Linked DNA regions of Lytechinus pictus. The protein of the gene in region 3 interacts with the protein of the main gene of each other region in a pairwise test. Links are inferred from orthologs where the notes say so. Each region holds a gene or a part of one and is shown on either strand. Other genes may lie near its edges.

Region 1 (7,657 bases), about 8.6 Mb from region 3:
AGAAAGTAAGCACTTCAACTATGTCGTCCTTTGGATGACAACTAGTCCATGACATAACATGGAGTAGAATGTTGCTACAATTTCAGATTATCGAAATGTGTGAAATTTTGAAAGAATTTTCAATCACTCAGCATGACTGATCTAAATAGATGATGAATATGAAAAAAAATAAGCGAGAAAAATGGATAAACAGGACCGAGGAGATCAATGTGAAGAGTGAAGACATATTTCTTAAACTGCATTATATCTGTGGGCTATTAAACACACATTCAGACTGTGGTTTAAAAGCATAGGACATTCTTAATAAGTAGGCTTTAATTGTGCAATAACAGGAAATAAATGCTAAAAATAAAAAGTTATGATCACTCCATCTGCTTATAAATCTAACCTACGATTATGCTTATGCAAACTGTCTCGTTGAAAAGATCAGTCAAATCTTATGATACTTAAATTTGAACTTTCCATTCACTATTTCACCTAACTTTAACACACATATCATGTAAACTAAAGATTTAGCAAACCCGATTCAAATTTGCATTATCTGCACCTGTTGTTTCATGATAATGTTATCATTATACATTTAGAAAAAAAAGATAAGGTTTGGTCAAGAGATGGAATTGTGGCATTACAGTGATTGAGAAAATTTTATTATAATTGGTGCATGCTGTAATGTAAAATCATGGAATAATGAGCAGAAATCTTTGGCCCAAATTCACAAAAGTTCTTTTTAAAACCATTGGTTGAACCCATGGTTTATGCAGATTTCATGTATAAATTACGCTTATTTAACATGTTATATTAAAGATTCCAGTGCTGATGCACGCTTTTGTCACAGTGCGCCAAATTGACGCCTGTTGCCATGGTTAAGTATGCTATTTTATCAATGAGTCCACTGTTTGAAGAGTGGACTCATTAATTCAAAACAGTGGACTCATTAATAAAATAGCGTGGATAACCAAGGCAAGAGGCGTCTATTTGGCGTACTGTGACAAAAGCACGTATCAGCATTGGACATTTTTTAGTATGCGGTAAATAAGCGTAATTTATACATGAAATCTGCATAAACCATGGGTTCAACCGATGGTTTCGAAAATCAACTTTGTGAATTCGTGCCTTTATGTTTTGCTGAAAGTCGCACAGGAATGTTGGCGCATAAAAAGAGGAATACTGGACCCTTTCTTACAATATTCTTATTACTCTGTAAACAACATAAGAGGTAGGCATACTTAAAAGATGCCCATAATAATTGTTCTCATGCTTTCCCAAAACTTTGTTTTCTTTTGTTTTTATGTCAATTAGATCATTGTTTTTAATCAGACTGATATTGTGTACATTGCTTTACGTACAAAATGCAGCTCCAGCATCAACAATAATGTTGGACTAATATAGCGTCAAAGCCATTCTGCAGAGTGCTCAAGACAATATTTATAAATCATGAATTATGAAATTAAGGAGAATTGAAAAGAAATGTTTTTAGGTTTTTTGTTTAAGTTTCAGAAGTTAAATCTTTTTTAATAATCTCAGAAAGATCGTTCCATAACTTAGAGGATAAGAGGATAAATGACCCCCCCCCCCCAGATTTGGAAAATTTGGGGGTAACAAGTGAACTTGAAGTGGTGGAACACAAGGATCTAGAAGGGGTGTAGCTTTTAATTAATGAAATGAGGTACTGCAGAGAAGAACCATGTACACAATGGAATGTTAACAACAAAATTAAGACAAAATATGAAGTGGATTCATGAATAATCATGATAATATCATGCCCATGCCATAAGTGCTAACTTTCGTTTTATAAAATGTAGAATTAATTTTTAAAGAAAGAGTTCCTTTTGCAACAGCCACCCACATTTCATCAATATCAACTGACCTAGTATTATCAATTGTATTGTGTATTGTATTTATATCTATAGGCATATCCCGCCACAGGCCTTTGCATTTACATGTAGGGTATATGCCATCTTCTATATACCAAACATGTACATATTCATATTCTACATGACAAACTGATTTTTGTATCAATTTATGTTTACGAAAAATGTAGAAATTTGTGAAACGGAAGAAAATAAATGTTTATTTGAATTTGAATTGAAAACCAACATTCTGAAAGAGGGCAGTTTTTGAAGGGTATAGAGTAAAAAATGGGGCATGGTTATATCTATTTATTATCATATATATAAATAAATATATATATTTTTTTTTTGGGGGGGGGGTTATTATAAAAGAAAATGGAAAAAAAATCATTTTATGATTTTTGTTTTGGTTTGGTGTTTGTTGCATTCTCACTCTTTCTCTATCTCTCTTCCCATATAACTCTGTCTATTACTCTCTTGCTCCTCTGTTGTATACCTGTCAGGAGAGAAGTTTGTGAATTGTTTTAATGCACATAAATACAACAAGTTTTAATTAGAAACAAAACTGAAGGTTGTGATGTTGACTTAATCAAGGAACCTTGAGCATACATGTCCTCCGCCTTCACGATGTACCAGCAAGAAGGTGTTAATGGCTTGGGCATTATATAGGGAGCTACGACAATGTTTTTGTCACTAGATGGCATTGTGAATTTTCTAGTAGTTCTCGTCTTACAGCGAGTATATCTTCTGTTGTAATATTTGTGCAGAATACCACGCTAACAGAATAAAGCCACATGACACAGATTTGTACACACCTAATGACTGTTGCATGAGACTTGTGAGTATGCTACATGTATATGTAGTATAGTGCCAGTTGTTCTCACCCAAGCTGTTTGACTGTGTGGTGTACCAAGCTAATGGAATATAGCCATGTGACAGCTAGATTGTATCTAGGCTAAGCCTTGTGAATACTTGTGACTTTTAGTACTTTGCCAAATTCATATTGGGCTTTTGATTTTCCAATGATATGGCCATGGGTGACATGCATTTCAACAATTTACCAATGATATTGTAACAGTCAAAATCTTATTACTAGATTATTGGCTATCTAATCAGTTGAAAGACCAGGGGGATTTTGGGGGCCATTTATGCCCAGTGGCAGTGGATTTCTACCATAGCTGTGCAGTTTTAGAAATACAACTTGGCGCGGGGACCCTTCCCACGTTAGCCCCAGGATGTCACCACAGTAACCTTGCTGACTAAATAAAGCCAAGGTATGTATTCTTCATCTTCATACCCTAACCCTAATTCTACAAGTGTCGCTATAAGGCGAGCACATAATACGCCTGCCTGTAAAGCGGAAAATGGAGTTATTTGCCAAGCAAAAAAAAAAGTGGAAGGTGGCGACTTCACCTTTGACAGTCTGACCTAAAAGTCAATAGAATTCCTGGGATCCATGCTAGTATCATACACACCAAATTAGATGAGCCTGGGTTAAGTTAAACTAAAGTTATCACGTTTACAAAGACTTCAGAAGGGTAAGATGAAAACATGTCACTGTGACCTTGAACTTTTGACCTCAAAATCAATAGGCTTCTTGTGATCCATAATAGTATCATACACACCACATTATATGAGCCTAGGTTAAGTTAAACTGAAATTATCGCATTTACAAGGACTGCAGCAGGGTAAGGTGAAAACCTGTCAGTGACCTTGACCTTTGACCTTTTGACCTCAAAATTGATAGGCTTCCTGGGATCCATGCTAATATCATACACACCAAACTACATGAGCCTAGGTTAAGTTAAACCATGGACCTATTACGAATGGACATTCAACGATAGCATTTTATGACCACCACCTGTTTCCAGCTGTCAAAATCGCTGTCTAACCTTTAACTTTCTCTTTACGCGGTTTTTACGACGACCGCCCGGGGCGATTGTTTACACAAGCTCCTTTCGGCCATTGATCGTCATCGATCGATCACTGGCCCTCTTTCGACCAAAGACGGTCATGTTTTAGCCCGATTGCCAATAGGGAAAGTCCCTACATTACCTAAAATGCAATGCGCAACTCATCTCCGTTTTTTTAGTACATTATTTTAGGCTGTCTATAATGTGCGATTGTCGTCTGACCATGAAAAAAAATCCCGTTAAATTTCATCAATCCTGTGGAATTTTATGCCCAAATGAAAATCAACTTCTGACCGAAGGTAAGCGCTACTATCGACATCAATACTGTCCGAAAAAGATGCATTTTTAACGTTTTTCCGCACATTTCTCCATCAAATTTCAACTGCTTTTTTGCAGTAGATATACTGATCTGCACGACGATGTCAATGCATTTCATGTGCGGTTGTTTGCGATGTACGTAAAAAATACCTTTATGCACGCCTGTTTTCTTGTTTCTGCAATCATTTTCATAGTGCTAACGTTCGCTGCCGTGCGTTGCTTTTGATAAAGTGAACGAACAACATCGCAATGTGTAGGAGCAGCGTACAATTGATTTCCGCTGTCCATCAGTGATAGCTTGTTTTACGACCGGCTTGATGGGCGTCAGCTGCCAGCGCTCTGTTTATAAAAGGATTAGCGGTGACGGTCTTTGGCCCAAAGGAGGGGATTCGTTGAATGTCCATCGTAATAGGTCCATGGTTAAACTGAAGTTATCGCATTTACAAGGACTGCAGAAGGGTAAGATGAAAACATGTCACTGTGACCTTGGGCTTTGCACTTCAAAATCAATAGGTTTCCTGGGATCCATAATAGTACCATACACACCACAAACCACATTATATGAGCCTAGGTAAAGTTAAACTGAAGTTATCGCATTTACAAGGACTGCAGCAGTGTAAGGTGAAAACCTGTCACTGTGACCTTGACCTCTGACCTTTTGACCAAAAAATTGATAGGCTTCCTGGGATCTATGCTAATATCATACACACCAAACTACATGAGCCTAGGTTAAGTTAAACTGAAGTTATTGCATTTACAAGGACTGCAGAAGGGTAAGATGAAAACATGTCACTGTGACCTTGACCTTTTGACCTCAAAATTGAAAGGCTTCCTGGGATTCATGCTAGTATTATACACATCAAATTATATGAGCCTAGGTTAAGTTAAACTGAAGTTATCGCATTTACAAGGACTGCACAAGGGTAAGATGAAAACATGTCACTATGACCTTGACCTTTGACCTTTTGACCTCAAAATCCATAGGCTTCCTGGGATTCATGCTAGTATTATACACACCAAATCATATGAGCCAAGGTTAAGTTAAACTGAAGTTATCGCATTTACAAGGACTGCACAAGGGTAAGATGAAAACATGTCACTATGACCTTGACCTTTGACCTTTTGACCTCAAAATCCATAGGCTTCCTGGGATTCATGCTAGTATTATACACACCACACTACATGAGCCTAGGTTAAGTTAAACTGGAGTTATCGCGTTTACAAGGAAAAGTTGACGGACGGACACCGAGCATGACCATAATATGTCCCGTCGAGACGGGCGCATAATGAGATCTAAGTATAACTTGGACATAATTAGGCAGTGAGACTTTGCTGTCATAGGTCTAGATTCATGCACTACATGTATGTCTAAATACTTATTCAAATTTCCTTTAAAATACACTTATAACATTGATTAAACCAACTTGATATATTCGTACTATAGGTAACATGCCAAGTATTAAGTCAGTTTTATGTTTCAATGGCTATTGCAAACTCAGGAATAATTTACAAGCCACAAAACTTTAATAATTCAGAGATCTAAACACATCACTACCTTGATAAAAGTTAAGCCCATTGACCACTTTTAAATCAGTCAAACTAACCTCTCATGGTCAGTGTCATCATAGTTTATTCACTTTTTGGTTTTAAGCTAAGACGGATGCCTACATTATGATCTCACCATCCGAAAATACGTATCCCAGTGGATTCGAGAGCATTCTGTTCTCCCTCCGCAAATGGGAGAAAATACGGGAAAGACTCAAGAACATTTGTGGAAGAATTCGTCTCGTTTTGAAATGGTCAAAACCAACCGAATACCCTCTAAAATATTCCTGAATGAATGTGGCCACAACAAATTTCATTTGGGCCACCTTCGGGATGTACCGTATTCGGATGACATTCCGTTGGATTAGGTGAAACATTCAGAGTATTCTGGGCAGATTTGGCCAAATTCGTTCTGATTCAGATCATCATTTAGCTGTAATAGGAGTAACCCGGCCACATTCGGCTCCATTCTTGCCACTATTCGGGTAGCATTTGGCTTTATTCAGGATGGCTAATTGATTCGGGTCAATTCTTGGCAATTCCTGTAATGGGGGGGGGGGGGACTTCCCGAATCAGCTATCAGCATGATCAGAGACTAATAAGTTCTGAATACAGAGAATTCATCTGAATCAGGCAATATTCGGGCAGAATCAGTCCAGATTCATTCGGCTTTGGTGTAACCCTAGGTTAATACAATCATGACGATACCATTTTCAAGTGACCAAAATATTTCAAATGAGAAGATGGGTGCGATTGGAAGCTGATATGGTAAAGATGAAAAAACGATTATGGCAAGATATTTACAAAGGCCTATTTATTAGTAGAGGCGCTGGTCCAGAAATTGGGATTGTCCCAGAAAACAAGGATATCCTCACAAACCAAGACAAATCATGTCTTGATAAATTGAGATTGTCCTTGTTTATTATGGGGACAGTTTTTGCACTTACCCCTGCAGGACATAGATGGCAATTACGGGGATTGAGAGTGCTAAAAAAAAAATTCAGTGACCTCAATTCCCAGTCTATTTTGAATTACTTGCTGTCGTCCAATAATCTTGTTATGAAACCTGATATGTTCACATTGACTAGCGCACTTGATTGGTGTCTGCAATTGACAGGTCAATGAACTTTGTTAGATTTCTTGGGTGGCAAAATCTTTGAAAACTGAGACAGTCCCTGGAACTGGGACGATCCAAATTTTCTGACCAGCGCCTCTACTGATTTATATTGAAGGTAGCAACGTTCTCGCTACCATGCATCACGGTTGGCGGGCGGCGACTACCCTGAAAATTTTCAGGGCAAATCCGCCAACCGTGAACTTCACCAACAACCGTGGCTGACAATGGTAAAACAGGCCTAGATCTAAAAAAACAAGGCAAAAGCGATTTTGTGTCTCGCCCACTTATGAAAAAAACCAGAAATATCATGATTTGCGAGGGCACGCAACAGAATCGTATCAAACTTCATTGTGAAATGACTGGGATGGAATAACACTTGTCTTAAGAGCCTTGCACGTAAACTGTATTGTTGACCTAAAAATGACCTTCGACCTTACCATGTGACCTCCGACTGCAGCATAACATGCAGGTCGTCTAAGTACATCTATCATAAAAGTTTTGTTGAAAAGTGACTTACGGTTGCGGAGTTAGGTGTCATAAAAAAGTCTTGCATGTAAACTTTAACGTTGACCTGAAAATGACATTTGACCTTATCATGTGAATTCCGACTGCAGCATAACATGCAGGTTCCCCAAGTCCATCTACCATCCAAGTTTGGTTGAAAAGCAACTTACAGTTGCGGAGTTAGGTGTCATAAGAGAGTCTTGCATGTAAACTTTAACGTTGACCTGAAAATGACCTTACCATGTGACCTCCGACTGCAGCATAACATGCAGGTCCCCCAAGTCTATCTACCATCCAAGTTTGGTTGAAAAGTGACTGACGGTTACGGAGTTAGGTGTCATATGAGAGTCTTGCATGTAAACTTTAACATTGACCTGAAAATGACCTTTGACCTTACCATGTGACCTCCG
Region 2 (7,925 bases), on a different chromosome or scaffold from region 3:
CCAAAACATGGCAATACTAAAAATAGTCATAATACATTTCACAGACCTTCATTTTTGAGGAGCGCGATCGCGCCGGCACTCCTACAGCGCTCCTAAAAAAAAATAAGGAGAACAAAAAATTGCGCTCCTAAAAAAACCATCAGATTTTTTATTAGACGTCTTCCGGCATGCTGCAGGACTCTAACCCACGCACGTTGAGATCTACGATCTTATCCGGAACAGGCGCTCTAACCGACTGAGCTACGCTACGCTGCCTCCCTTGGTGCTGAAATTTCACATTTTACATCTTTTTTTTCATGAAATAGGCATCTATTTTCCATAATTCCTTGAAATTATTTTGATTAAGTTGGAAACTACTGAAGAAATTAAGAATATTCACCTCTTTCCTGACTCTGATTTGATGTTAAACTCTGTAAATATTGTAGTCCCATATGTAGATTTTCATGGTGTTGACCAAGTGTAAATCGATCAATAACGATCTAACGATCATTTTCAGTTAATGTTGCAACACCATGGAAGTCTACATGTGGGACTACAATATTTACCGATTGTAACATCATCAATCAGTTTAAAAAACTCTTCTTGGAGTATTTCGGAGGAACATCATACCAAGTACCAAGAATTAAGAAAGAGCTGAATATTCTTCATTTAGTTTTCAACTAAATCAAAATAATTTCAAGGAATTAAGGAAAATAGATGGCGATTTTATGGATTTAAAGATGTAAAATGTGAAATTTTCGAAATTTTTGTACAGTATTTTTTGTAAAAAGTTTTTTTTTTTTAAATGCAGGAGTGTGATATTTTACACGACAAATCGTCCATAGACTGTGTACAACGGATAGATCGTCTCTGCACAGCAATTCGGAGACTGCTGATTGGTCAATCGTGCAGATCAGGTCATGACTACGTGGTTGCCAAAATAATTCCATCGGACTGCGTGCAGAAGTATCGATAGCGATAACGATATCCGGTCACCTTGTGTACGCGGGAAATGGTCGTGATCGCTCCGGCATCGATCGAAAATTATCGAAACTGCAATTTCATGCATATTCACGCGACGCTCCGAAACCGGGAAGCCAATTGACTTTGTGCACGTTGCGATAGACTACAAATTCCAATGAACACGATGCCATACCGACGCTAATTCGTAAGATTTTGACAGAAAAGCAAGAAGTAATCGAAATTCGCTTACCTGTGCGGTATCGGTGAGAAAATATAACCTCCGAGAAACCCTTTCATAATTCATATAAAATATAAGTGAAATTATTTCTAGGTCGATTTAGGTACGAGGTGATAGAGAATTGCACACTTGTTTTGGTGGAATACTGTGTGGGGAAATGGAAGGCTTGCACTACGCTAGACCAAAAGCTTCAGTCTCTGTATTTTGGTTGTTCCGCTGAACTATGTTGGCTCCACTCACCATACATAGACTGAAGGGGATGGGGCCCCGTACCTACAGCCAACGTATAGTGAACTAGCGTTTTATAGATCGCGATTTAAAACTGTTTTTTAAGCAAAATTGAAAGTTTCATGGTTTCCATTATCAGGGAAATATAAATAACTTAAGTAATTGCATACCTTGGGCCGGAGTTATTGAAAAAAATCCTCTGGATGATTGAGAAATCTGTCATCTAAGACATTTTCACCTGACCTGACGGTTTTTCTTGCAAGTTGCCATCTTGAATGACGTCATTATCGTTATTAACTTAATGTCTCGAATCGATATATCGCGATTATAACTAGTACTAGTACTAGTATAACTAGTATCGTTTATCTTCGGTTTCGTTCGCATATGGAGCAGATCGTATAATATCGAAAGCAATATCGATATCACATTCGTGATTGTTGACGTTCGTTTGTAAATATTTTATAGTTTGGCTGCCATTTTGACCATTTTTTTCGTGTTCAACCCAATTAAACATCGGTAAAGTATATTTTTCATGCCTTTTTCATCTATATCGTTTAAAGTATTTAAACATTGAAATATTAATTTTTAAAAGTTTGTTGTTTATACATCCTTAGATTGTAAATTCGATGTGTAAAATTACATCAAACTTTGGACTGTGAATTGACAAAAGGGAGGGAATGAGAACACATGCGAGCCCACACGTACACCCTTCCGTCGGTAAATGGGGATTACAGTAAAATGTCAGAAATTGTTGAATAAATCCCCAGAAACGACGGTTATTCCTGTCTAGCACTACGCATGCTTACTATATTTTCATTCATAAATTGGCTCTCGGCAATGGCTGGATGACGTCATGTAATAAGCAAATGTACACGACCGCTAGCGTTGAATAAACGTATTGACCCTGGCCTGGCCAGGCCTTGTTTCACCACAGAATAGGCCTACAGACACATCTATAGGATAGTAAATTAGTATAGCATTTACAATTTTAAGAAAAATCTACAATTTATCATAAGATTCATATATATATTGTATTGAATAGATTTGAGCTCCTCAAGAAGAGCGATTCTGAGAAGCTCAATTAAGCTGCTGGAAAAATAAGGAGAGCGATTTATTGAGCCCCACGAAATAAACGTGAAGCTGAACTTGAACTTGAAGGACTGATTTCATGATTTCACATGATATTATCGAGATGGAGATTATCTAGTCTACATTGGCTTGCAAATTACATACTAGTAGGGCCTATTCAACAAGCATTGATGCAAATTTCATTTTGTGAAAAAATATTTTGGAACAAAAATATTGTAAGTATAGAATCGTACGTCTAGTGTGCTAAAACGGTGATTTTACTTCTGTGTTATTCGAACGCAACCATCAAGGAATCGTGCTTACACCAATTCCCTTGTGTGCATCATATATTGCATACGGTGGTAATATGAGTGGCCCACTGTTATTCGTACCTTTTTGATGTTGTATAATCTTGCGAGCATTCCTGTGCCACGATCATTGAGAATTGAGAGTTTTTCAGCCAGCTTGAGCTGGCCTTGAGATACAGGCATCCTGCTGGACATATCAGACAGTAATCAACGACATCTAGACTCTAATTAAAGCTGCAATAAAGGGCATTCGATACAGGTTTAGCATTCAAGGTGCGGCCTTGTCGCAAAATTAGGGAACTCAGCCGCTCGTTAATGCAAACCAGGAAGAAAGTCCATCAAAACAATTTACAAACTTTATTAAAGGCTTTTTTATATAAATAAGATTTTTTTTTACTTCCACTTTTTCGAATAAAAATAATTGATATTAATAGAATTTATTATTTTACATCACTTAGATTATAAATATATATTTTGATACACATAAATATATTATTTTTTTAATGTAAGCCGGCAATATCATCTTATGCATATCGTGAACCATATAGAATTTCAGCACGTGAATGCGGAAGGAAAATCAATAAACATGCGTGGCGCGCCTAATGCCCCCCCCCCCCTAGACATATGGACTGTTTTTTCTATCAAGGTATTTTTTCCATACAGGGTCATAAATGTCAACTAGTGAACGTAACTTTTTTTTATTAAAGAAATAGTTCGTGGTTGATAAACTTATTTTACCGCAAAGGAATTTTCCGAGTCTCGATGGGATAAACAGTTTTTTTTTTTAATAAACAATTTTTTTTTTCAAGTGATCGAGCGTTTTTACTCGAAAACAGATGTGCATCAGGAGGGGGTGAGAGTGGGCGGGGAAGGAGAAAAATGTTATCCATATTTTTCTGCAAAAGCCGGGCTGCTGGAAGAGCTAATTGGTGGGGATGGGGGTCGGAACGGGGGTCCAGAATCAAAGATTGAAGTAATTTCTTGGCGTTATTTTTCAGTACAAATTATAACAATTTAGGTATGAAGCACGACCCATTTTTTTCATACTGAATTGAACAGGGAAGTTTTAATGCCGTTTGAATTCATCATACAAAAAAAGTATATCCATAAGTTTAAGTATCTCACTATAAATACTAAATGCATGTGAGCTAAATTTTCTTTTTAGTGTACTGACCTAAAAAACGAAAGTTTTATGCAATATGACATTTTATAATCATGAACAGGACACATAATATAATGTGAGCTCATGAAGCCAAGCTGATCGAACCATCGATCAGAGAGTTCTCACTGGCCCCAGAAACATATTAGGCATTATTTAGCACAAGGAAATCATATGGCATAGGCCTATTCTGGACCGCGGAATGAGAGGGATTAGCCTTCCGTTGTTTAATCCAGTTTAAATATAGGAGTATACGGTGTCCATTTATGTGATTGTGATTGCAGCATATTGCCCCTCCAGGTTTTCGTTACACAATCTATGACCATGCTGTCTCATAAAACAATCATTTCTTTTCACCCAATTATCCAAATACAAAACAGCAGCTTCATTCCTTAGCTATATATAACAAAATAATTTCACTAGAAAAAATAAATTATTTAGAAAACTAATGTCAATCGAATGAAAAACCATGCATTTTCATCAAGAAAACGCTGCATGTTTATCCCGATGTTTATCAAAAATATATTTTTTTATTTCCTAGTATTAAACTTGCATTATAAAAAAAAAAACTATAAAGAATGTATCCCTCCCCCCGAAAAGCTGGGTTTGACTTTTATATACACAACCATACAAAATCTGTAGTCTGATATCTGCGGGACGTACAAAAGGAATTATCGTCCGATTCGTGGGTCCCCATCCGACGAGGCGCAACACCGAGGGGGGGGGGGGGGGCAGGGGAACGTACAGTATATATCCACATAATAATTTTCTTCATGTCAAACAATGATCGAAACTTTCATTTTCGGGTCAGTATAATATGTAGTGAGATAGAGATAGAGAACCTATTACAAACAAGTGGTTATATAAATACTCCGTTTTCCGGTCTGGATACAAAACAAATGTTCAGTTTGCGCTTCGCGCTCGCAATATATGATCGAATCGTGAGGTGTTTGATCCTCTAAACTAATAGCAAGAAACCGGCAAGAAACAGTCCTTGACATTTTCCTTTTTTACATATCAGTATATCAAAGATTTTAGCTCACCGGTTATCGCGCTGGCTTAATTGCTTTAATGTGCGTTCGATTAAAAAAAATATATATTTTGTAGGCATTCCCCGAAGTTCTCCGCCAGGAAGTGTTACTCGCTGCTCAGTGATGGTGGCGTAGTGCAGAAAGTTTGAAGGAGCTAGGTATGGCGTACCGCGTAAGAAGTTGAGAGTGATATATTACAAAAATCTAATATTGTCATAGATATTGACATAATATTCAGGAAATGATATCATATCTCACCTTTCTCTCTTTCCCTTTTATCAATCCCCTTCTCTTCTTTTTTTACTAGGTCATGATTTTTTTTTGGAGGGGGGGGGGGGGCAAGCACCCCCAATTAAGGCCTCCCCTGCGATAGGCCTATTAGGCCTACGACATCGAGAGGAATCATATATATTGTAAACCATGAACGGAGTTTTATTTGTAAATGATTATAAAAAGATACTGAAGACTGTCTATCATAATATCATACAATATTAAACATTCATGCATCCCCCGTTATGTTCTAATCTTCAAACTCTAGCCTCAGTCCGGCTTACTTGGCCTCGCTTTCTTAAAAACCTTTTGATGACTCCATGACTTAATTGCGACAATTTCTCACAGGAACAACATGATAATCTAAACCTCAAACATATCACCCTAGCTATAAATCCAAATAAACATTTTTTCTGAAACAAATCAATTTCTATCAAAGTAAAGATTTAGCGGGGTCGAGCATATACCAGGTGTCAAAGTAGTAATACAGTACTAGGCGAGATCTATGCAAACTATTTTCGAATTAAAATTTTGAAGGGATTTTTATAATTTATATCAGGATAGGAATGCTAATTACAGTGTCCCTTTCCAGTTTTATTGCAGGGCAATTGCTTTCATTAAGTTCTCTTTATTCTTGCCATAACATAGTTTGAAAGAGATCAGAGTATTATTTTTGAAAATGATATCATCTCTCGTAAAAAGGCTCACCTCATATTATATTCTAACGTCTTCGATTCTTTTAAATGACAATGATAACGGTGACTGAGAATATTGATAATCATGATATCGATAGTATCATTAGGCGTGTCATTGGTCTTTTGTCAAATTTGATTACCATTTAACAATGTTTTCAACTAAGAAAAGTAAATTCTCAATTGTGAAATTATAACTTCATTTTTTCATGCCTTATACATATCCACATTATAACATATAAAAAGTCAGAAGAAATTTGAGGGGTGAAGTAAACAGTCGGCCTAATCTTATATAAAAATAAAGAAATATTTCTTCCCCGAGCTCTATACGAGGAATGACAAGGACATATTTGCAAGCCTTTTGCAAAACCATATATCAACTTTTCTTCCATTTGTTTGTTTCTTGTTTTTTTGTGTGACAGAGAATTTTTTTTTATTAATTTGCCAAAAGAGCAGAAATAATATATACACAACAAAAAAAAGTATGTCCCCCCTAAATCAAATTGCTGTAACTTTTGAACGGAATTATTTTGAGATATGATATTCCGTAGGTGGTTTTCTACACTCATTAAGCAACTCCCGGAGAAAAATAAGATTGATCGGTTGAGTCATGCATGAGTAATTAAAGATTGAATTAAAAATGACCATTTTTGAAAGTCACAAGAGTCGTTTTTCAGATTGTGCACATACAAAGTTGGGCAAATGTTGTCTTTAAGTGAATTTTATGGTGTTATGCTGCTTTACTATCCATCATTTAGCCACTCCACACACAATTTTGATATCATATATTCATGGTTGAGTGAGCACAATATATTGCAGGGGCCTCAGAAGCGGGGGGGGGGGCTGGGCGGGGAGCTTCATCCCCCCACTTTTTTCCAAAAGCATGTACAAAAATGTAAAAATGACCATACGATTGTGATTTTTTGCATGGTCAGCCCCCCCCCCCCCCCCACTTTGAAAACCCTTCCCCGGCCCCTGTATTGTAACGTATCATCATAGGGGTTTATGGTTGTATCTTCTACAACTTGTTAGATCATGTTAAAATTTGAAAATGTTGGTGGCTCCCCCGATTATAGGCCCCTCCCCCCATTTTAAAATTCTGGACCCATCACTGATTTGTCCATAAATTAACCTGATCATGAGAAATTGTTAGGAAAAGAATACATTTATGCAGTATAAAGAGTATTTATTCCTAAGTTTTTGAATGTGCTCGCTCAACCATGGAAATGTTTAAAGTTCGGAAAGTGTGTGGTGATAGAAATGATGGATGATAAAAACAATAGGAATTAAAGTCTTATTTGAAACCGAATATGCCCCCAATATTCACTTTATTACCCTTTAAAATGAGTCTGTGACATTGAAAATACAAATTTTTCCACTTTAGGTAGGGTTTCACACGCCAATACTGTCTTGTTAAGCCTTAAAGGACAAGTCCGCCGCAACAAAAAGTTGATTTGAATAAAAAGAGAAAAATCCAACAAGCATAACACTGAAATTTTCATCAAAATCGGATGTAAAATAAGAAAGTTATGACATTTCAAAGTTTCGCTTAATTTCACAAAACAGTTATATGCACATCCTGGCTGGTATGCAAATGAGGAGACTATGACGTCATCCACCCACTATTTCTTTTGTATTTTATTATATGAAATATGAAATATTCTAATTATCTCCTCATTGTCAAGTGTGAAAACGATTAATTCCTCCCTGAACATCTGGAATTAGCATTGTTTAACACTATATTATGGTTCAGTCAAGTTGGTACTTATTGTCAAATCTATAAAAAATGAAATATTGTATAATTCAAACAATAAAAAACAAAAGAAATAGTGAGTGATGGACATCATCAACTGACTCACCTAGTTGTGCATATCACTGTTTTGTGAAAAATAAGCGAAACTTTAAAATGTCATAACTTTCTTATTTTACATCCGATTTTGATGAAATTTTCAGCAGTATATATGCTAGTTTGATTTTTCTCTATGTATT
Region 3 (7,504 bases):
AGTATTGAATGTTGTCATGTGCAGGAAATCATCATCAACAGTGCAATGAAATACATCTGAGAAAGATACAGAATGGTGATTATGAGACATTAGATATTATCAGTGTTTCTCATTTTATATCTGAGGGTGCCTGGTTTAATAATGATCTTCATGCAGCCCGATTCTCACCAAGTGATTGTAATATGACTTGATACTTGAGCATTAAATAAATCATGCATATATCTATGCAACCATGTCATGATTAAAGTGAAAAAGGAATTGAAATGACTGAATTTCTTGGCCTTTACTTCCAAAAGCACTTGAGATGTCCGGAACCTACCTCCCATATCAGGTGGTGGAGGCATCCCGATATCCCCATATGGGTTAATGGAGTTACGTTGGGCTTCTCCTGCACCTGGCCTCATTCCAATAGCTTGGTTCAGCTGGGCAGCAAAATTTGGCTGTTGCTGCGGGGGTGGTTGTTGGGCTGCTGGGGGTGGTTGGTGTGTTGCTGGAGGTAGCTGATGTACAGCTGGTGCAGGTGATGGTGCTGGGGGCATCATACCTCCTATTGGGGGTGCAGGAGGGGCAGGAGGTCCCATATTAGGTGGTGGTGGTTGGCCCATGTTAGTATGTGGAGGCCCACTCATGACAGGTGGTGGAGGTGGCACTTGGCCGACTGGTGCCATACCAGGGTGTGTACCTGGCATGTTTGGTGGAGGGGGTGGGGCTGCAGGTACATTTGGGTCTGGTTGTCCCTGCATGTATCCTGGAATCGATGGCCTTTCCTTTGGTGGCGCCCCGTGGTGAGAATCCCGCATGCCCACTTTACCAATAGACATATACTGTGGTGGTACAGTTGGTGCAACTGGTGGGTGATTGGGCATTCGTCTACGCATGGAGTTGTACGGGTCATCCAGTCGTGGCTGGTAAACTGGCAATGCTTCATATGCTCCACCACCACCACTGTTAGATGTAGAAGTGCTTGCTTGTGAATCTGTTCGTGGTCTACCTGACGTTGTTGAAGGAGAACTAAGTTTGAGACCATGACCTACGTCATCCAGAGCTGAAAAATCAATGGGAGTGGACTTATACTTAAGCTGCTTCTCAGGATTGGGTGGTGTGACAACCTTATGAGTGCGAGGGCAATTCTTATTGGTGGTTAACACACCAATCTCTCGACGTGCTACTTTCTCCTTGTGGATGGCAACATTCTGAAAGAAAAAAAAAGAGAGATTTGTTTACAACTGTACTTTGGCAATTCCACAGATTTGTCGAATAACCACCAGGCTCATGCTAAATGAATTTGCTGTACCTCCAATCACACATTTTATTAGTCCAATACTAAGTACTATGGTGTATAAAGAAACAATAACAATTTTATGGAACAAGTTGGGGGGAGGGCCTAAAACACATCAGACAGTGTGAATTCTTAATGAGTCAAAATCAACATGTACAGTACTTTACATAGAAGAAATTAAATTGCTTCCACACTGTCTTTACCAAGTTGAAACTGAGGAAAAAGATTGAGCTTACCTGTGCTATGTGATTGATGCTAGACTCCATGTTGGCCAGCTGTGTGGCTTGAAGATCTAGCATCTGCAACATACTGGTAGCAAGTGTGTTGATCTGATATGCCACACTGGCAAGAGATTGAGTGGTGAAGTTCTTTGTTTCCTCAAGTGCTCTCCTCTTATCAGAGGCCTTTATCAAAAAGATAGAAAAGGAAATATATGATGAGAGTGATTTGTGTGGTAATGTATGGTAGGATGGGATGGGATTATCTTATGATTTGTTGATGCCTCATTCAGATATGAAGCAACTAAGCTCAGTAATGTTTTTCATAGAAAAAGTGAGACTAATTGCCTCACCTACATCCAAGTAAACCTGTATAATATTTTTCAAGTTTGAAAAGGGCTGAGCTACTGTAGATTTGAAGTCCACATTAGATTGGGGGACATCATGACCACTAAGTTTGAGGGAAGATGACAGTCAGAGGCAAAAATATGTCTTTTTCAATGCCATAATATTCTAAAGATAGGCAGGGAAAAGGCAGTTTCATTAAAATCACTTGGTCTTGGGTGGTTTGTCACTTCACAGGTATTATCTTAATATCCTGTTTCAATTTTTATGTGACTGGTTCATTCGTTTAGACTTCTTTTAATCTTAAATTTTCAGTTTGAGTTTTATTTTTTCATTGTTGTGGAGTCTGTTTGTCACACCTATACATGTAATCTGCGTGATTCTAGTATTTATAGTAAAAGAACAGAAATTTTACGCATGCAATACATAGACAGATATTCATAAAAAAATCTGATTTAAAATGGTGGGAAAATAATTAAATCGTTAGGTGCGCAGGCTTGGGGACCACCATCATAATATAAGTTTGGTAAGTTCCCGTCTGCGCAGTCCCCCTTGTCTGCGCACTTGCGTATCTGCGCGATTCTAGTAAAAGATACGTAATGAACACATTTACACATGCAATACATAGAAAGATATTCATCAAAATGGTGGAAAAATAATGAATTTTGGGCATTTCTTGTGACGGCCTCAAAATGCAGCCTTTCTCAAAATCCCAGAGTGAATGGGTGCGCAGACATGGGGCACCATTTTATTTTCTTGTTCAATCTGAAAGTGAAAGTGAAAATGACTGCCCAATGTTTTTTCCGAAAAAATCATATATTTCATTCAAAATTTTCAAATTATCATGACATGAGATATTTGGCACACTAACTCATAATGATGTCAGGAACATTATCAACTGAAAATTTTGTGAAATAAAAAGAAATATATGTTAAATCTTAACTCAAATTTTAGGTGCGCAGAGTTGGGGACCAATTCAATTTCGACCAACAATAATAACATGACCAACTTAAAATTCTGCGAGTGGGACCGAGGTAATACAAAAATTGATTAAATCTACCTTCCGGTAATTATCTTCGCAATAATTAGCCACATCTTGCAAGTTGTGATGACTGTCCTGTAAAGCCTGTCTTCCAGCAGGAATTTCATTTTCGAAAAGAAGTTCCAACGTTGACATTTTGTACAATTTTGTCCAAGTTCGCAGAAGCTTCCGTGTTCATAAATGGAATTATGGGTAATCTAGGAGTGTCACTCTCACTTCCGGTATTTGGGGAGCGTTTCATGAAATTCGAAAGGATTTGTCGGACGTTTTTCCGAAGGTCATTTTATGGTTTTAATCCGACAGTTACCAAAGTGACATTGCTTCGCACCCAATCAAAATCAAAGAAAGATGTTAGATCTGAAAATTTGTCGAACGAAAACGTTGCATTGATGAAACACTCAGGGCCCCGTCTTACAAAGAGCTACGATCGATCCAGATCCTATCGCGCCCCCGGGATCAACCTCAAGTATATGGAATTTTTTTTATTTGGAAATTTGCACATTGTGCTTTGAAAACAAAGAGAAAAACACTGAATTTTCAAGAAAACAGTAAATGTATTTACATATCTTGGAAATATTTTGAACAAACATTTATTTCAAATGTTGACGTTGCTGGCTTTCCATAATTGTGGTTGATTGGATCAATTCGTACATGTAGGATTGTAAGACGGGGCCCCCGGGGGGGGGGGCACTCGACCAAAAAAGTGGTAGGGGTGTGCCGCGGGCGAGGCAAAAAACGGGGGCCTTATAATTGGAGCGGGCTTATTGTAAAAAGGAGGGTCCTCGGAACTACAAATGTTTGTGAAAACGGGGGTCCTCGGAACGGATCTCCGTATCTCTGTGAGTGCGTATGCATCCCTATGGAACGGGCAACGTGCACGACGCAGCTAGCGCGGCCTCCGCCGGGTGCGCTCGCGCTTAGGCGATGGTCGAAAAGCGCTCTACGGCCGCTTTTCACCAAAATTGTAGCAGATCAATGCGACCGGAACGGCGTAACGAAAAATATGCGAAGCCTTGGAGCGGATTTCTTTCTTCTTTTTTCTCGATAAGAAGGAAATGCTATGCCTTGGAGCGGCTTTCTTTGTTCTTTTTCTCAATAAGACAAAAATGCTATGCCTTAATTGGAACGGAAATTTGAGTGTAAAAATGGGGGTCCCCTCCGCGGCACATACCCACTATGCATTATATACTGAGTGCCCCCCCCCCCCCCGGGACGGGGCCCTGGGTGCGCGTTTCCGTTTTACACCCTGGCGAAGGCATTTTCCGAAAAAATAGCCACAAAGCGACTAGTGAAGAGTCTACGTCTACGTTTGTTTACATAATCAGCTGGGCGCGCGATCCAAAATTCCGCTCCGAAGATATCCGCAGAACATACGTAGACGGGTCAATATACGACCAAAAATAGCCTTACCCGGAACAAATTGCAACAAATGATTTTTCAACGGTATTTTGTACTATTTGACCTCAGGAATAACATACTAAAAATCTACCTAAATCCGCATCCGGGAAAGTGGTTATTTTCAAGATGGCGTCCAAGATAGCCGCCATTCACTGAAAATTGATACAACTGACACATTATCCACCCTAGAATCCTATTTCGTTCTATATTCCATGGTCTGGGGCACAAAAGTTGATTTAGGCAAGAAAGAATTATAAGCCCTCCAGTGTACCAGGCAAATCCAAGATGGCGCCCAAAATGGCTGCCGTGGGCTGAAAATCCACAATTCATCTAAATTTGTTTTTCATTCAATGGTTTTAAGGGTGAAATAGTACATTGAAACTAGTTACAAGGACAGCCAGTGGTCTGGTGTGTCCAAAAATCCAAGATTGCTTCCAAAAACGGAGTTTAAAATGGCTGTTGATAATTAAAATGGACATAGTTCATTTCATATCCGCCTGGGACATAATGATTTTGGTGTCTAGACCACGAATTCAATGGTCAAATAAGACATTGGGACACGTTACAAGGACAGTCAGTGGTCCAGTATGTTCAAAAATCCAAGATGGCTTCCAAAGATGGAGTCGAAAACTGCTGTTGCTACTTAAAAACCCGACATAGTTTGCTCAATGTCCAGAAATATGATTTTTTTTTGTGTCTATACCATGGTTAAATGGGTCAAATAATACATTCGGACAAGTTACAAGGAAAGTCAGTGGGCTGGTATGTGCAAAAATCCTCGATGGATTCTAAAAATTGATTCTGAAATGGCTGCTTATACTTAAAGCGGACATAGCTCATTTCATTTTGGACTGGGATATGTGATTTTGATGTCTAAACCACTGGTTTCAAGGGTCAAAAATATATTAGGATAAGTTACAAGGACAGTCAATGGTCTGGTATGTCCAAAAATCGAAGATGGTGTCAAAAAATTGGTCTTAAAAATATGCTGCTGATACTTAAAACGGACAAAGCTCATTTCATATTGGCCTGGAAAGGTGATTTCTGTGTCTAAACCACTAGTTTCAAGGATCAATTAATACATTAGGGCAAGTTACAAGGACAGTCAGTGGCCTGGTCGGTCAAAAAACCTAAGTTGGCTTCCAAAACTTGATTCTAAAATGGCTGTTGATACTTAAAAGTGGCATAGCTCGTTTTAACTCAGCCTGTGAGATATGATTTCGGTGTCTAAACTATGGTTTCAAGGGTCAAATAATAAATTAGGACAAGACAATGGCAGTCAGTGGCTTAGTACGTCCAAAATTACAAGATGGCTTCCAAAAATGGAGTAAAAAAATGTCTGATGTTACTTACATAAGGACATAGTTTGTTTAACATCTGTCTGGGGAATATGAGTTTGGTGTTAAAAGCATGGTTTAAAAGGGTCAAGTAATACACTAGGGTAAGTTACAAGACCAGTCAGTTGTCTGTATGTTAAAAAATCCAAGATTACTTAAAAAAATGGGGTGTAAATTGACTGTTGTTGTTTAAAAGTATGCATAGTTTATTATAAATACACCTTGGAGGTATGATTTTGCTGTCTATACTAGAGTTTACAGGGTCAAGCAATACATTGGGATAAGTTCAAAGGACAGTCAGGTGTCAGGTATGTCCAAAAATCAAAGATGGCTTTAAAAATGGGGGTCTTAAAGACTGCTGTTACTTAAAAGGGGATGTAGAACATTATAAATACACCTTGGGGATATTATTTTGGTGTCTACACTAGGGTTTCAAGGGCCAAACAATACTTTGGGACTGGTTACCATGATATGCAGCAATTCATTTTGCCTTGAAATCCAAGTTGGCTTAAGAATGGGTTCTAAAGTGACTACCGTTACATAAAATATCTACCTGTTAGAAATAATCTTGGTGCCTACACTTAAATGCATGGGGACAAGTTATCATATTGTTTCATGAGTTGGTAACAGCACCCATTTTGATGAAATTTTAGAATCTTTGACAAAATGGGGTACTAACCATCTTTGTTACTTTTCCGAATGTATTATTTGACCCTTCATACCACAATTTGGACACCAACATTATTTCTTGCAGATGAATATTGTAGAACTCTGACCAGTATTGAATGATATGAGTCGTTTTAGATTCCTTTTTTAAAAACCCTCTTGTGTTTTAGGCAAACTGGACAACTGCATATCAATGTAACCAGTCCAAACGTATTATTTTAATCATGAAACCATAGTGTGGACACCGAAATCATATCTCCTAGGTGGAATTTAAAGGAACTATGTCCATTTTTAAAGTAACAGCAGTCATTTTAGACTCCGATTTTTGGAAGCTTTCTTAGATTTTCGACATACTGGACCACTGACTGTCCTTGTAACTAATTTTCTGCCTTTTGAAACCATGATATAGGCAACAAAATCATATGCCCTTGACGAATAAAACCTAACTATGTCAATTTTTAAATACCATCGCGGCTAATTGATACTATGCCACCGTGGACTTTTGGACATACTTGACCAACAAACGTCCTTGTAACCTATCCCAATTTATTATTTGACCCATTTAACCATGGTATAGGCACAAAAAATCATATTCCCGGATATTTAACAAACTATGTTGGTTTTTTTTAAAGTAGCAACAGCATTTTTTACTCCATTTTTGGAAGACATCTTGGATTTTTTTAACATACCGGACCACTGACTGTCCTTGTAACTTGTCACAATGTATTATTTGACCATTGAAACCATGGTCTAGACATCAAAATCATATCTCTCAGGTGGATGTGATATGAGCTATGTCCATTTTAAGGATTAAAAGCCATTTTAAACTCAATTTTTGGAAGCCATCTTGTATTTTTCGACACACCAGACCACTGGCTGCCCTTGTTACTTGTCCCGACGTATACTACTCCATCATTAAAACAATCGAATGGAAACCAAATTAAAGCCACTTAAGTAAGTAATAGATGAATTGTGGATTTTTTAGACTACGGCAACCATTTTGGGCGCCATATTGGATTTTCCTGGTACCCTGGAGTGTTAATATTCACTCTAACTTGTATAAATAGATTATTTTACCCATTGGATTATGGAATATGAATCCAAATAGGATTCAAGGGTGGATAATGAGTGAGTTATATCAATTTTTAGTGAATGACGGCCATCTTGGACGCCATCTTAAAAATAACCACTTTCCCGGATGCGGATTTTGGTAGATTTT

The links.
Region 1: the proteins of abl interactor 2-like (region 3) and actin nucleation-promoting factor WASL-like interact in a two-hybrid assay, tested with the Drosophila melanogaster proteins (2 studies listed by BioGRID). The link is inferred for Lytechinus pictus from reciprocal best matches to the Drosophila melanogaster genes Abi and WASp.
Region 2: the proteins of abl interactor 2-like (region 3) and nck-associated protein 1-like interact in a two-hybrid assay, tested with the Drosophila melanogaster proteins (2 studies listed by BioGRID). The link is inferred for Lytechinus pictus from reciprocal best matches to the Drosophila melanogaster genes Abi and Hem.

Annotation. Positions count from the first base shown.
Region 1 is NC_087247.1:47,756,000-47,763,656, forward strand, and holds the start of actin nucleation-promoting factor WASL-like, read right to left. Parts: upstream 3,614-7,657; coding exon 3,524-3,613; intron 1-3,523.
Region 2 is NW_026974140.1:15,023,695-15,031,619, forward strand, and holds the start of nck-associated protein 1-like, read right to left. Parts: upstream 3,129-7,925; 5' UTR 2,980-3,128; coding exon 2,869-2,979; intron 1-2,868. UniProt on the Drosophila melanogaster protein: Plays a role during growth of the oocyte.
Region 3 is NC_087247.1:39,154,307-39,161,810, reverse strand, and holds the start of abl interactor 2-like, read right to left. Parts: upstream 3,092-7,504; 5' UTR 3,020-3,091; coding exon 2,903-3,019; intron 1,684-2,902; coding exon 1,516-1,683; intron 1,194-1,515; coding exon 320-1,193; intron 1-319.